Regions from separate parts of the Mus musculus genome. Here region 1 is reported to be linked to region 2. Evidence: microRNA targets listed by miRTarBase, many of them from high-throughput screens and not tested one by one. Region 2 holds a microRNA gene; the other region holds the end of a gene's coding sequence.
The links. Region 2 holds the annotated microRNA mmu-miR-1933-3p (CCAGGACCAUCAGUGUGACUAU, at 2,932-2,953, shown strand). A microRNA usually pairs through its seed, bases 2 to 8, with sites in the 3' UTR of a target mRNA and lowers its output. Matches are read on the target gene's strand: a 7mer-m8 pairs with bases 2 to 8, a 7mer-A1 pairs with bases 2 to 7 and ends in A, and an 8mer does both.

Region 1: miRTarBase lists Sfxn3 as a target of mmu-miR-1933-3p. Seed matches in the 3' UTR shown: 7mer-A1 at 1,896-1,902.

The regions. Positions count from the first base shown.
Region 1 is chr19:45,053,920-45,057,919 of GRCm38, reverse strand. It overlaps Sfxn3 (sideroflexin 3), which reads right to left. Exons shown (of 11, transcript NM_053197.4): 10 at 3,571-3,618; 11 at 1,537-3,315. The coding sequence ends at 3,219. It also overlaps a transcript of Pdzd7 not described here. Among named protein-coding and RNA genes, the nearest start is that of Sfxn3, 8.3 kb to the right of the region's middle.
Region 2 is chr11:21,343,553-21,347,552 of GRCm38, reverse strand. It overlaps Mir1933 (microRNA 1933), which reads left to right and starts at 2,878; the gene lies at 2,878-2,965. All of the region lies in intron 3 of Ugp2 (UDP-glucose pyrophosphorylase 2), which reads left to right.

The DNA of each region.
Region 1 (4,000 bases), not on the chromosome of region 2:
GAAGCTAGAATTGGCCCTGGCCTCTGAGGCTTGGAAGGAGGCCTTGGTGTGATTGGCAGGGTGGAATGAAATTGAAACTGGCCACCTAAGTGTCCCATATATAATCAAGAATGGGGTTATTTGCTTATGCGTGCAAGTTATAAAGCTCAAATTTGGAAAGCCTGTAGTGGCTGCGGCTTTTTGTTTTATTTTTGATACTGTATTGAAAACTGAGTCTAGGGTTTTGCTCATGTTAGGCAAGCACTCAACCACTGAAGTATATCTCTCTGTTTACTTCAAGAAGATGTCTCATGGAGTTGCCCTGACTGACCGACCATAAAATGGCTCGTGACTCAGACTCTCCCAGGTACATGCAGAGCCAGCTCCAGGCTTCTGGCCTAGCTTTCTTAGTAGTTTTAGGAAAAGGTTTGTGTATAGTTGTGGTCCTGTCAGGTTTGCTGGTCTGTAAACAAACTGGGTAGGGGAGAAGGAGTTCCTGAGTGTCAGAGAGACTGGGTGTGGCTGGCAGCTGGCATATGAAAGGAGGCACTGTGGTGGGGTGTCACAGCTCAGCTGGAATCAGGCCCCACCATGTCCCTCTGGTCTTGTTTTTCTTGTTGCTCGCTTTCTTTCTTTCTTTCTTTCTTTCTTTCTTTCTTTCTTTCTTTCTTTCTTTCTTTGTTTATTTGTTTTTAGAGACAGAGTTTCTGTAGCTCTGACTGTACAACTCACTCTGTAGACCAGGATGGCCTTGAACACAGAGATGTGCCAGCCATGCCTCCCAAGGGCTGGGATTAAAGGGGTGCACCACTATGGCCAGCAACTTGTTGCTATTTTTGCTTGTTATTTGAAACAGGGTCTCATGTAACCCAGGACGGCCTCAAGTGTGTTATGCTGCTGAGAGTGCCCTTTCTAGCTCTCACCGCCTGTACACAAGCACTCATGTCCTACCTCATCTTCTCCGGGGCAGGAAAATATCATAAAAGTAAGGAGGCCGACTCAACAGAAAGAAAGAACTGATTCCTAAATGTTGTCTCTCTTCTCCTCAATCTCCTCTCTCTCTCTCTCTCTCTCTCTCTCTCTCTCTCTCTCTCTCACACACACACACACACACACACACACACACACAATGAAGAACCCTGGGGGTGATGGAGGGATCCTGTCGGGCCAGTTGCCACAGTGACCTGGTAAAGACAGAGGATGTCCCAATTCCCTACCAGCTTCGCTCTAATGAGCAGGCGCTTGCTGGCCTCCTCTTCCCTCTGTAAAGATTTCCTAGAGACCGAGGTCACCACCCTATGCCAGAGTCGTCAAGGAAACCAAAAGGCCATGAGCTTCAATTAATATATATGTGAGCAGTCCTCTTAGTGAAGATAGAAATGAAGCCAAGGGTATAGTTGCTAGCCAGAGGACCCATTTTGTAAGCTCAGAGAGCCCTCTACTGGGAGATGAGACTCCCTACAGACAGTAGGGGAGGGTTTGGGGAGGAGCTGAAGGCAGGAGAATCTCCTGGACACTTCCTTAGACAAGTGGGATGTGGAATAACTGAAGATCAAGAACCAGACAGGATTGCAGTTTATTGACACCATGACGTGACAGCTGTTGTCACTGGAAGAGGAGGTTAGTTTAAGTGGTCTCCGTGGATGTCACTGGGGACCCCATTCACCTTTTAGCTAGAGGTCATGGATTTGGCGTGGAGATATAATTCTATGCCCTGGAGTCAGTATCACCCACACCATTCCCGAACTCATCTTCTATTTGGTCCAGCTATTAGAGCCTGGGTCCCTCTTCCTTTTGAAATTAAGGGCAGAGGGAGTGCAGTGCCATGTCTTAAGAAAGAGACGGGCTGCTGGCAATGGTGGCACATGCCTTTTAATCCCAGCACTCACTGCCATAGGCAAGCAGATCTCTGAGTTTCAGGACAGCCAGGGCTACCCAGAGAAACCATAACTGAAAAACAAAAACAAACAAAAAAAGAAAGAAAGACAGACAGACAGAAAGACAGACAGACACATTCAGACAGAAAGGAAGGAAGGAAGGGAGAGAGAGAGAGAGAGAGAGAGAGAGAGAGAGAGAGAGAGAGAAAGAAAGAAAGGAAAGAAAGAAAGAAAGAAAGAAAGAAAGAAAGAAAGAAAGAAAGAAAGAAAGAGAGAAAGAAAGGAAAAGAGAAAGAGGGCACTGGGGATGTCGCTCAGTGGTAGAGCAGTTGCTTAGCATATATGAAGCCTTGGGTTCTTCCAGAGACGGGGTAGATGGAAAGGAAGGAGCTGAGGGGGGGGGGGTGTGTCTAAGAAGAGTCAATGAAACACAGAATTACCTGTCTTGATACTGTACGCTTGAGGCCTGTGTTTAAGCACCGGTCCCACACCAGCCCCTACAAGTGGGTACGGGTGGTGGCAGTTCCTGAAGGGAATGCTTGCTCTGCCTGTGTTGTGTGGCTTTCTGATTGGGGGAGGAATTGGAAGTGTGGGATTTCTGAATCATGACATGACTCATCAGAACAGACGAAGAATGCTCAAGATGGTCTCTAAAAGCACCCACAATGCAGTGTGGAGAGCAGTGCAGGCTACTGACACCCCCATGGTCCACCAGAAGAGAGGAGTGGAGCCATTCTAGGGTGTGGGGTCCAGCAAGCATGAGCCCCCTGCCTCCCTGATTCCACACTGCTTCCTCTACCAGCCCACGTCCTGAACCAGCTTTTAGAGCTGGTTCAAATAGCTGTATTTGAAACCTGAAGGGTTAAGCTCTGGGTGGCCTACGATGTTCTTCAGTCCCTGTTCTGGGATCCTGGGGCTTATCTTGGGCACAGAAGGCTAAGATGCTATCAGAAATGACTTAGCTAGAGGAACAGTTTAGGGAAGGAAGTCTCACCCATAACCAGGCTTGCTGTTAGGTGGGCAGGAGACTGAGAAGAGAAGACAAATAGCAGGACATCCTAGAACAGCATTTCTGCTCTTAGCTTCCAGGATGAAATGTATAAACACATGTGCTGCATATGTGGCAGTGCACACACACAAACACAGGAGGGATGGGTTTTGTGACTTGCTCTTTGAAACCAGAGAGGAGCGGAGAGGCTTATAGGAGTGCCTCCCCCAGTCTAAGGTTGCTGGTCTCAGTGGCTGCTCCCCACATCAAGCCCCCTTGCCCAGTACCCAGAAGATAAACAGGTGGTAGCATTGCAAGGTGGCATCAGAGAAGCAGCCTAAGGAGGTAAGGACAGGGACAGAGGCCGACTCCCCTCAAAGCCCCTTGTTGTAGTAAACCACATCGATGCTGGGGTTTTGTGCTTGGATCTGAGCTCTCAGCTCCGGCTCCAGCCTGGTCACATGTATGGAGCTGCAATAGAACAACACAGGCTAGGTAAATATACTCCGGGCTCAGTGTCTCAGACCCAGGAGCTGGCTTCCCTCCACTCCCCGGTGAAGAATCTTCCCTGCTTTCAGAAGGGCTGGCTCACTGTTACCCCACCCCCACCCCACCCCCCACCCCGGGCTCCCAGATGCTCCTGTCAGACCTCCCGGGAACACACTGCGGGCCTGAGATGCAGAGTCCCGGGCAGAGATTCTGGTCAGGTCCAGCGGTGTCACTCACCTTCTCTGAGGGAACAGAGCGCAGCACAGGGGTGTGGCAAATACCAAGCTAGAGAAGAAGAGCACAGGAAATGTCTGTGACACTGACTTTTGTGTCCCCTCCCTGTACCCCACCTCACAGGAATAGCCCCAGGAGTGAAGCCTTATTTGTTTGTTTGTTTGTTTGTTTGTTTGTTTGTTTGTTTTTGAGCTCTATCCCAGCCATAAAGGTTGGAAAATGGAGTCAAAGGACCATTCAGGGATGTTAAACTCAGTCCTGATATTAGATCCTGTCTGGGGAAAGAGCCTCTTGAGCATCAACCCAAAGCCCCAGGATCAGAGAGCAACAGGATCAGGGGTAAAATGGGATGCAACTCCTGGATTGTACCCTAGAGTCTACTTGTATGGGGTCCTCTGGTGAGTGAAGGCTGAACCCCTCAACTAAACTCTTG
Region 2 (4,000 bases):
CATACCTACTCCTTATACTTTCTGCCCTGAAATTATTTGAGAGAATCTTTTACTAATCCTTTTTGGGGGTTGGGATTCTTCAGTTTTGAGCAACTGAATATCCACACATCCCATTTTAAAACCAGGATAACAGCAGAATGTTCACACCAGGTACCGAAGCTTGAGAGATCTTTGTAAGAATTTCAAGCCCCCATAACATTTAGAATTATGTGTATGTGATTTGTTTTTTCCATAGTAGACAGTAGACAGTCAGTGTTGCCATACTCCCATAGGAGACCATGGCCTATGAAGGTTAAGAACTGCTGTCTTACAGATCTGGTTCTGCACATCTCTAATCCCAGCATTCCAGAGGTGGAGACAGGAAATCTATGCAAGTTCAAGACTTGCTGGTCCTACGTAGTAAGTTCCAGGCCAGTCAGGATTGCATAGTAAGACCTTGTCTCAAAATAAAACAAAACAAAACACAAAAGCAAAAAGAACAAAAAACAAAAACAAAAAAAGAAACTGTACAGAACTAGATCTTTACAAAACAAATATAGATCACTTATCAGCATTTTAGCTTTGTGTTTGTGGAGGACTTGAGTCCAAAACTGACTAACTGGCACAGGGATAAGACCGACTTTCTGGTCTCCTGGGGTGAACCTGACACAAGACTTCTCTGAGAGTAAATGGCTTATCAAAAAGAATAAACCTGTGAAAGTAAGACTCCAAAATACTGCTTAAAGTTACTCTCATGGTGGTCTTTGGTTGGACAGATGGTGAGTGTGGCTGGTTCTTTGTCTAGAGTCAGAAAAAGAACCAGAGAGTTTCTTTGCTCCTTCATTGGAAAACACAAGATGTTTATATTACAATTTTTAACGATAGCAAAATTCATGAATAAAGTAGCAACAAAATAATTTTATGGTTGGTGGTCACCACAGCAGGAGGAACTGTGTTAGTTGGTCTCAGCTTTAGGAAGATTGAGAACAGCTGTTGATACACATATACCTGCACTGTAGTCTTCCACAGGACTCTCTCTACAGCCGCTTTCTCTTTCCTTTTTATCCACCTCCATCTTCCCAGGCCTGCTTCCACAATGTGAATTATATAACTAACTAACAATGGCTAGGCCAGTGGGTTAGTGTGAGGTGGGGCAGGCAAGGTGATTTTATTAAAGCTAGCAGATTTTGACTTAAGAGAGTTGTTATTTGGTCCTTCCTTGGATTCTGGTTTGTTTGTTTGTTTGTTTGTTTGTTTTTGCAAGTTCTTTAATCACCTGACTTTGTCCTTCCTAATCCATACTCAGATGGGATGTTGTGTGTAAGCCACCACCCTGTCTGATAAGGATATGGACCGCATGCTGCACATGATTGACTTATCCTATGACCGTAGCTCTGTCTGACATCTACAACAACTTATAAGAGGAGTGTACCTTTTTGTTATGTTTAAATGCTTCTTGTTTACCATCTATGTATGTTGCTTTTACATTTTGTAGTTTAAAAATATTCGGAAGTCTTTTAATCCCCTAGAATTTCTATTCAAATTTTGAGAGTTCAGTAAAGTATAGGAGTGGATTTTTCTTCATGTTTACCTTTCTAAGTTCTAGGACCTTGCTTGCCATCTGTAAAGCGCTGCTTTTTATTTAATTTTTTGCTTTTTATTTAATTTTGATTTTCTCACCCTGGTTTTCTGCCAGTTCTTTTATCATCAGATCTTCTGTACTTTATGAGGTTTAAAGTACACAGGGATTTTACAGTTTTACATCTCTTCAGTAATTTGAAATTGCTCCCATTTTTAATAAGATGGCAGTACGTGAGAGTTTGACAGGTAAAAATATCAACAGTAGGAAACAAAATACTCTAAGTCGATTAAGATGTAAAAATTGAATTAAGTGGTTTACAATGGGTTTTTAAATAAACAATTTTACAGTAGTTTGAGTTAGAGAAAATTTTTTTAGAATCCATCTTGTTTTTAGCTGGGAAGGTAATAGAGCTATCTAAGCTAATTTTTATTGTCTGTATTCCATTTTAAAACTTCTTTCTGAGTCACCGTGAACATAAGATGATTACTCAAAAGGACTGAGAGAATTCCAAAGTTCAGAACGAAGTTTATAAAACAGGAAACATGGATATGTCAAAGGGTACCTGTGACTTGACTAAATATTGGAAACAGGTGGAAGCAGGCCATTGACTAGAGATTATTTACAGAAAGGTTCAGTTAAAACAATTGTCTTCATGTACATAGTCCTAAAGCCCTTTGAGGATTGTAATGTATTCTCTAATTTCAGGAGAGCATGAAATACCATTTCAAAGGTGCTTGTTTTATCTTTTATTTTCTAAGCCAAAAGTTAATTTTTGTTTTATTTATTTGAAATGGTAAGAATCAAACCACAGTCTTAATGCAAGATAGCCAAGTCATCTCTTTGTAGATAATTCAGCTATATCTCTTCTCAGTAGTTTTCATTTAATTAAGTTTGATAGATCATTTACTAGTAAAAACCAACCTAGGAAATTTCAGCAGCAGCAGGGAGACGGCCTAACACAGCTACCAGCAGCCTAAGAGACTCTTAGAGACCTCCTCTAAGGTAGAGCCAGATCCTTGCCTGTGCTGCAGAAAAGAGTTTCAAGAAGCCCCAGAGTGAAACAAAGTTAATTATTTTGTTAATTATTTGGCAGACTCATGGGAAACGGATAGTACACAATACCAAGATATAGGCATGGGCTTCTGGAGAAAGCATTGCACTTAAGGATCTTTACCATGGTAATATGTGTAATCCTGTGGCTTCTAAATTACCTACCTTCCTTCCTTTTCTTTCTTTCACTCATTCCTTGGCAGTTTCATACATGTGTAAGATGCATTCTGGTTACCCCTACTCCTCTCAGCACCTCAGCATATCTGTCCTGATCCCACAGTCATGGTGTTCGGTCTTAGTTTGTGACCAGTTTAGTTTAACCAGGACCATCAGTGTGACTATTGGATTGGGACTATCCACTGCGGTGAGTGTGGTGCGGTCACTGGTTAGGTATACTGCTGAAGGTAATGACTGTGTTTCCCAGAATCTTTCAGTAGGAAACAGTTTAGCAGAGAAGATTAGACCTACCCCCTCACTCATCCACGTCTGGCTGTTAATGAGCTCATTTTTGTGCAGGCTGAGCGAAACCATTTCCAGTTGTTTGAAGGGTATGCCTAAGTTGGCTGGATACTGCCCATTTGGGGGCTTTTGGAAGGCCTTCTCTCTATTTTCCACACTTACATTCTTTATGCTATATCCTCTTCTGCATTGTTCCTGAGCCTTGGAAGAAATGGCGTAATGCCTTGTTTAGGACCAAGCACTCAACCGTCACTTATTCTCAGGATCCTATATAGCTATACATTTGTAATTGTTGTAGAAACTATTTAATCCGGATCCAGGGTTTCTACCCTGCCTTAGATCATTTAGTTCCCAGATAAAAATCATACATAACCTTTATATTTACAGTTAGCCTTAAACAGTACAAGAGCTGGGCAGATATCTACCCTCTATGTTGTTAGAATCTACTTTACTATCAGTAACTCTGAGTTATTACTACTTGCTATGTTTCATCTGGGCTGTTCTTAACTCCAGTTGGCCAGCCTTCAGAGCCATGTTCTCTTGACTCCTAACCCATGGTGGTTTCTCCTTTATCCTCCTGTGCCTCTCCTCTTCCTTCTCCTCCCTCCCGTCATCCTTCTCCTCCAACCGCACGCCTGGGAAACCTAAACCCCATCTATGTCTCTTCTGCCCAGCTATTGGCTATTGGCATCTTTATTTACCAAGCAGAAATAACTTATGAGCAAGGTCTGTATGCTGACTGAGTTATCTCTGGGACACCCAGGTCCTGGGGGGCCGCACTTACCATTACAATAGATAACAAAAGACCAAACCTCAACATGTTATCTACCACAAGTGGTAATTGTTTCCATATACTTGGGAGATGGTTCCATGTTATGACAGTTTAGCACTCTGGCCTCCCCAGCTGTGAGTTTATGAGTACTTGTATCG